Macaca mulatta: one gene and its partner. The protein of the gene in region 1 purifies or fractionates together with the protein of each later gene. This does not show direct contact. Links are inferred from orthologs where the notes say so. Each region holds a gene or a part of one and is shown on either strand. Other genes may lie near its edges.

Region 1 (3,742 bases):
CCAGACTAAGACGCAAAACACGAAGCCATTCAGAGATCTTCATCTGCCCAAGAGGCAGGTTCTGAGCGTCTACCACAACGCGCATCTGAACCATCGCCACCCCCACGCCCGGGGGCTCTGGCAAGCCCTCCTTCCCTGCAGTCAGCACGGCATCCTGAGGACCGGCGCCGGGGGCAGCACCTGCACAAGCTGGCTGATCAGCACTGGGGAGTACAGGTGCGGCTGCGTCAGGATGCTCTTCGAGATGGCCTCACAGTAGTGGAAGGCTTGCGTGGCCAGCCCCATTTCCGCCAGGCGGCAGGAGTAGATGAACTTAAACACCTGAAACGACAGAAACCTTGCTGCCCCGCGGCTCCCCTGCTTCCGAGCATCGCGGATGGACAAAGCCTCACGCTGCCCCGGGGCTCCCCTGCGTCCGAGTATCGCGGATGGACAAAGCCTTGTGCTGCCCGGGGGCTCCACTGCATCCGAGCATCACCGACGGACAAAGCCTCGCGCTGCCCCGGGGCTCCCCTGCGTCCGAGCATCGTGGTTGGACAAAGCCTCGCGATGCCCCGGGGCTCCCCTGAGTCCGAGTATCACCGAAGGACAAAGCCTCGCGCTGCCCCGGGGCTCCCCTGCGTCCGAGTATCGCGGATGGACAAAGCCTTGCGCTGCCCGGGGGCTCCCCTGAGTCCGAGCATCACCGACGGACAAAGCCTTGCACTGCCCTGGGGCTCCCCTGAGTCCGAGTATCACCGAAGCACAAAGCCTCACGCTGCCCCGGGGCTCCCCTGCGTCCGAGTATCCTGGTTGGACAAAGCCTCGTGCTGCCCCGCGGCTCCCCTGCGTCCGAGCATCACTGATGGACAAAGCCTCGCGCTGCCCGGGGGCTCCCCTGCGTCCGAGTATCGTGGTTGGACAAAGCCTCGTGCTGCCCCGCGGCTCCCCTGCGTCCGAGCATCACTGATGGACAAAGCCTCGCGCTGCCCGGGGGCTCCCCTGCGTCCGAGTATCGTGGTTGGACAAAGCCTCGTGATGCCCCGCGGCTCCCCTGCGTCCGAGCATCACTGATGGACAAAGCCTCGCGCTGCCCCGGGGCTCCCCTGCGTCCGAGCATCACTGATGGACAAAGCCTCGCGCTGCCCGGGGGCTCCCCTGCGTCCGAGAGTCACCCTGGAAGCTGTGGACTCTTCTGGACGCTTCACTCATCATGTCTCCCACCCACCACGCCCGCCGACCACAGTCCTAGTCCCTGTTCCCTGAAGGATTTCAAGAGCAAAGTAAGTGACTAAGCTGGGAAGAAACCCACCCTGCTTTCCCCGCCAACCCCTTTCATGGCGCCACTCGGCTCTCACAGCCACAACACCCCAAGAGCACGGCAGGAAGACCACTGCCTTCCGTGCAGCTCCAGCTGCCCACAGGCATTCTCTAGATACTTTTTTTTTTTTTTTTTTTTTGACCGGGTCTCACTTTGTCACCCAGTCTAGAGTGCAGTGGCACAATCCAGCTCACTGCAGCCTCAATCTCCTGGGCTCAAGCGATCCTCCCACTTCAGCCTCTGAGGAGCTGGAAACACAGGCGCATGCTGCCATGCCTGGCTAATTTTTGTTTTTTTTTTTTTTTTGGTAGAGACAGGGTGTCATTACGTTGCCAGGCTGGTCTCTAATTCCTGAGCTCAGGTAATCCACCCACCTTGGCCTCCCAAAGTACTGGGATTACAGGCATGAGCCACCATGCCCAGCCTCTCTCTATGTATATTTTATACACACCACCCCCATACTGCATCAGAGAATACCTCCCTCAAATATTACAAACAGCTCATACGGCCGGGCGCGGCGGCTCACACCTGTAATCCCAGCACTTTGGGAGGCCGAGGCAGGCAGATCACGAGGTCAGGAGATCGAGACCATCCTGGCTAACACGGTGAAACCCCGTCTCTACTAAAAATACAAAAATTAGCCGGGTGCGGTGGTGGGCGCCTGTAGTCCCAGCTACATGGGAGGCTGAGGCAGGAGAATGGTGTGAACCCAGGAGGCCGAGTTTGCAGTGAGCCGAGATTGCACCACTGCGCTCCAGCCTGGGCGATAGAGTGAGACTCCGTCTCAAAAAAAAAAAAAACAAAAAAATTAGCACGGCATGGTGGTGCTGCCTGTAGTCCCCGCTACTCTGGAGGCCAAGGGAAATGGCTGAAGCCTGGGAGTGATCAAAGCAGAGTGCACTCCAGCCTGGGCAACGAGTGAGACCCTGTCTCCTTAAAAAAAAAAAAAAAAAAGCTCATGAAAATAACTGAAATCAAATGCAAACGGAAAGCCTCAATTCAATGTGATCTAGTTTTTTAGCATTTTAGATCAAATGTCTTCTCAAGATCCTCCCCGAAAAAACTCACATCATTTTTTTCCATAAGAACTCAAAAAATCTAAGTAGCCAAAAGCTTGTTAGCACTGAGCGCCTGCCCACCCATGACAGCTGCAGGCTGGCAGCACCTGCTTACCTGGAAACTAGGCAGGGGGCAGGTCTGGGCACCCAGGGACTGGGCGTACTCATAGGCTTCCGTCCTCTGGATTGCTTCATTGGTTGCGAACTTTAAGAATGGCAAACTGTAGAGGAAGCGAATTATTTTGATTTGAAAAACATGGCCAATTATTAGCAGAGTCAACCTCAGAGCAGGTCATCCAGAAGTGTGTCCCACCATGTGACAAATCAAGACATGATTCTGTCCATTTCTGAATTAACTAAAGGAGAAGGATTTCGTCTTACTTTTAAAGGAAAACTTACAGGACTACACTGACTTGCTTCTTTACCTGTGATTTGATCCAATTAAGACAAGCTTTGTAGTTTTCTTCGTATAAACACCAAATCCAACCTGGGCCATAAGGTAGCAAAAGTGGGCCGCGTCTAAGAGGCCCTTCGAAGCTGGAGAGACACGAGAACCAGGCGGAGTCTCAGTGACTGCGGATGCCCGCGGAAGTCAAGCATGTGCACAGAAGGCACTAGAGACGCGAGCTGGACCAAGAAGGCCGGGTTCTTGTGATTTCTGCCAATGCCACAGACAACCGGGCCTTCGGTGCTCCATCCATGACGCCTGATGCCCATCTCCACCCCTGACCTACCCAGAGTGTCGCCCATGGTAGCCATCGTCCTGGACTCGACATCCATATTGTTGTTCAAGTTGGACAAGACCATGGCAAGGTGCGGCCTCCAGTCTCCCCATTTCTCGTCTCCACAGCACTAACATGAGGAAAAACAAAACGAAGCCTCATCCCTGGAAGCCAGCACCGTTTCAATTCCACGCAGCTGGGCTCACCAGCACGAGGAGGCACCTCACGGCCTGTGACAGCATCACCCATGAGCAAACTCCACACAGGCAGTGGAGCCTGTGCGAGCCACCAGGCAGTGCCACTCACCGTAGACGCGGCGGGCATCCGCCCGGACATGAGCTGGTAGACTGTCTGCAGAGGGTCGTTGATTGGGAGGCTGTTGGCAAACCTGGGCAGACATAAACACAGAAAGACCCCACGCTGGCTCAGCTAAAAGAAAAAGTCCGGCCGGGCGCGGTGGCTCATGCCTGTAATCCCAGCACTTTGGGAGGCCGAAGCGGGCGGATCACCTGAGGTCAGAAGTTAGAGACTAACATGGAGAAACCCGTCTCTACTAAAAATACAAAAATCAGCTGGGTGTGGTGGCATGCACCTGTATTCCCAGCCACTCAGGAGGCTGAGGCAGGAGAATCGCTTGAACCCAGGAGGCAGAGGTTGCAGTG
Region 2 (3,742 bases), on another chromosome or scaffold:
GTGATAGTCTCTCTCTGTTGCCCAGGCTGGAGTGCAGTGGTGCGATCTCCACCTCACGGGTACAAGTGATCCTCCTGCCTCAGCCTCCCAAGTAGCTGGGATTAAAAGCATGCGCCACTATCCCCAGCAAATTTTTGTAATTTTATTTTTATTTATTTATTTTTTGAGACAGAGTCTCATGCCGTCACCCAGGCTGGAGTGCAGTGGCACGATCTCAGCTCACTGCAACCTCTGCCTCCCAGGTTCAACGGATTCTCATGCCTCAGCCTCCTGAGTAGCTGAAATTACAGGAACATGTCACCACACCCAGCTAATTTTTGTATTTTTAGTACAGACGGGGTTTTCCCCATGTTGGCAAGACTGGTCTCAAACTCCTGACCTCAAGTGATCCGCCTGCCTGGGCATCCCAAAGTGCTGGGACTATAGGCGTGAGCCACCACACCTGGCTTAATTTTTGTACTTTTAGTAGAGACAGGGTTTCACCATGTTGGTTAGGCTGGTCTTGAACTCCTGACCGGAAGTGATCCACCCCCCGCTTCGAAAGTGCTGGGATTACAGCCGTGAGCCACCAGGCCCAGCCTGGAAATCATTTTCAAAAATATCTGAATAAAATAAAAATATAATTTTCAATGTCAAAACCCTTTGAGTAGTTTTAAGGCCACTCACTCTAATTAAGGTCTGAAAGTAGGAGCAATAATTTAATAGCAGCTAGGGTCAGAAAACTGTCTCTGAAACAGCGTCTTGCTGACCATGACACATGACAGCAAAGTAGCTGTCACTCCAGAGCAGCCCAAACCTGACAATGGGCTTTCAGAATTACAACCCGTACCCAAGAGCACCTACCTTCGTTGCCTTTTTCATGAATCGTGCATTATCTTTCTCAATATCATGCCAAGAACGAATAGGAATCTTTAATTCATCTCCAACCACCATGCCAGGCCCTTGGGTAGGGGGACCTCCAGTAAACAGCATGATCCTGGCTCCCGTGTTTGGAAAAGTGCCCTAAAATAGCGAATGGCAGCATGTTAGAAGTATACAGCCCCACCTCTGTGTATGGTTTCAATTTCCCAATAGAAATACTCCGAAGATGCATTCTCTCCAGCTGTTCTAAAAAGTGGTGATACTGCAGAATACTACAGATGATAATGCAGAAAAGCAGCACTTACCTTCTTCCAACCTGATGGGTTTGCACACTTTTATTAATTCGCTGTGAGTGCTCCCCATTGCTCTAATTCTCAGTTTTTCATGAAAACTTTTGGCATTTTCAAAATGTTGAGGGGCTCCCTCAACATGCATGATAATGATGCCTGAAATGCTTTCTGATACATTAACACACATGGTTGACTTAGATCACAAGTGATTTTCAAACAAAGCCAACAAATATATTTTCTGAGAGCAAGTCTGTATGATTTGAGAGGTCCTGGTAAATTCCAAATTACCTCCAGCAAGCCAACAGCAATGGACAAAGCAACGCCAGTGGATCGCAAAGGTCTCTTCCCCTGAGTTACTGGCCATGGGTCCCTCTGTAGCTCCCCAAGAAGATCAGTGAGGTTCATATCAATCTTGTGAACAGGCTGCAGAAATCTGCAAGATTTTGAACAGACACATCAACCCAGATTGAATAAAGTACTATGGTCTTCAACACTAGATGCCACACAATTATTGCTCTCCAAGATAATTATTCGGAGTAGTAAATGACGGGTAATTTTTTTCTTCAAAGCTATCTCTCTACTAACACAAAACAATTTAAAGCAGTTTTATTGAGGGATATAAAGCCCAATACTTAGCAATTTAAATATGCTGCATGGAAAAAAAATTGTCTTGAAAAGAAGCAATTCAGTTTAATTAACTTTTAGGCAGCAAAGAAATCCTAAGGACGTGCCTAACACAAGTTCAGTCTATGGGAGGTCCACTTAGGTGGACAATCGTCATCATTCCTCATCATTCTAATCTGTGCTTCTCTTAAGCCTTGAGAGTAAGAGGTTGTCTTCAGCATGTCGGGCGATGCATTTTATCGAGCTTGCTAGCCCAGTCTAGGGCAGCCCCAGGCGCTCAATGGGCTGAGTGAAGTGAATACCCGGTCTTAAGTATGTTTGAGGACACATGAAAGAAGTCTTTTCAGTTTTTCCAGTTTTACTTAAGCATCAAAAAGGACATCAGATGTGGAATGTCTAAGCACAGCAATTGAGCACAGTGGTCTCAAAACCTTTTTGACAAAATACTGAATACTGATGAGGCTTAACCATTTATCTTTTCCTCTAATAATAAGAAAATAAAAGTTCTAATATTTTTCTTTCCTTACTTCCGTGGATCATCTGCCTGTCCATCATAGTACATGTAACACTTCATGTTGGGATCTCACCTGGTTGAAGCAAAAGGGTGCTCCTGTGGTTGCACAGGTCGTGCTTGCTGCATGGGCATGGCTGGCTTGGTCAGGCCCAACATATCCTTAAAAAAAAAGGCCAAAAAGATTCATTTCCAATGACACGAAAAGTGAATGACTAATTTTTAAGAAATGTCCTCAATTGGGTGTGGTGGCACGTGCCTCTAGTCCCATCTACTCAGGAGGCTGAGGTGGGCCAATGGCTCGAGCCCAGGAATTCAAGGCTACAGTGAGCCATGATCACACCACTGAACTCCAGCCTGGGCTACAGGCTCTTTTAAAGAGACCCTAGTCTCTTTAAAAGAAAAGGAAAGAAAAAAGTCCTTGTTCCTGATCCTGTAAAAGTAAGGTACAAACCTGTATTTGCTTTGCAGTTAAATCCTTGGTCCCTCGGAAGACATAACTTTTGGAGATTCCTTCGCAGCTTAGTTCATGAACCTGCACCATCCTGCCAAATGTGATCAGACCCACCAGAGCATCTGGAGGAAGAAGACTCAGGGACATCTGCAGGGACTCTTTGAGTGCTTGAAGGTCATCTTCCTCCAGGCATGTGTCAACCACATAGAGAAAGATCAGAGGGGACTGAGCACCTCGCTTTGGGCAAAGAAAAACAGTATAATGATCAATATACAAATAGACTTAACCAGCACTTTTTAAGGCAAATTCGGTATGAAAATCGTAAGTCTTCATCTATATTTAGTTTTAGGAGATAAGGACATCTACACAAAGCTCTAATTAACTCATTAAATGACTTAGATTCTATTAAATCAAACTAAACATAAAAACTATTTGTATCCAACAACTTACTCAACATTTTTTAATACTTCCTACATGCCAGACATTGTTCCAGGTCCTGGGACACACAGTGAACAGAAAGAACAAAGACTTCTACTTGCCTCAAGGAGTAAGCTTTCTGGAATGGAGAGGTTAAGGGAGACTGCAAACACCAGGAGGAGAGGCAGAGGGCAGAGTCAACTGTTCAACAGAGAAGTCAGGGCAGACTCATTTAGAAAGTAGCATGTGAGCTGGGTTCATGCCTGTAATGCCAGCACTTTGGGAGGCTAAGATGGGAGGATTGCTTAAGCCCAGGAGTTCAAGACCAGCCTGGCAACATGGCGAGACCCCGTCTCTAACAACAACAAAAAGTATAAAAATTTAAAAATTAGTTGGGCATGATGGCACATGCCTGTGGTCCCAGCTACTCGGGAGGCGGAGGCAGGAGGATCCCTTGATCCCTTGAGCCCAATTGGAGGCTGCAGTAAACTATGGTTGCGCTACTACATACCAGCCTGGGCAACAGAGCAAGACCCCATCATAAAAAAAAGAAAAAGAGGGCCGGGTGCAGTGGCTCATGCCTGT

The links.
Region 2: the proteins of SEC16A (region 1) and SEC23B purify together in Homo sapiens (affinity purification with mass spectrometry; 3 studies listed by BioGRID and IntAct, with this or other methods). This does not show direct contact. The link is inferred for Macaca mulatta from reciprocal best matches to the Homo sapiens genes SEC16A and SEC23B.

Annotation. Positions count from the first base shown.
Region 1 is NC_133420.1:6,040,564-6,044,305, reverse strand, and holds part of SEC16A (protein transport protein Sec16A), read right to left. Parts: intron 3,469-3,742; coding exon 3,387-3,468; intron 3,211-3,386; coding exon 3,093-3,210; intron 2,896-3,092; coding exon 2,784-2,895; intron 2,580-2,783; coding exon 2,474-2,579; intron 322-2,473; coding exon 181-321; intron 1-180. UniProt on the Homo sapiens protein: Acts as a molecular scaffold that plays a key role in the organization of the endoplasmic reticulum exit sites (ERES), also known as transitional endoplasmic reticulum (tER).
Region 2 is NC_133415.1:65,478,660-65,482,401, forward strand, and holds part of SEC23B (protein transport protein Sec23B), read right to left. Parts: intron 2,978-3,742; coding exon 2,741-2,977; intron 2,449-2,740; coding exon 2,363-2,448; intron 1,585-2,362; coding exon 1,440-1,584; intron 1,003-1,439; coding exon 844-1,002; intron 1-843. UniProt on the Homo sapiens protein: Component of the coat protein complex II (COPII) which promotes the formation of transport vesicles from the endoplasmic reticulum (ER).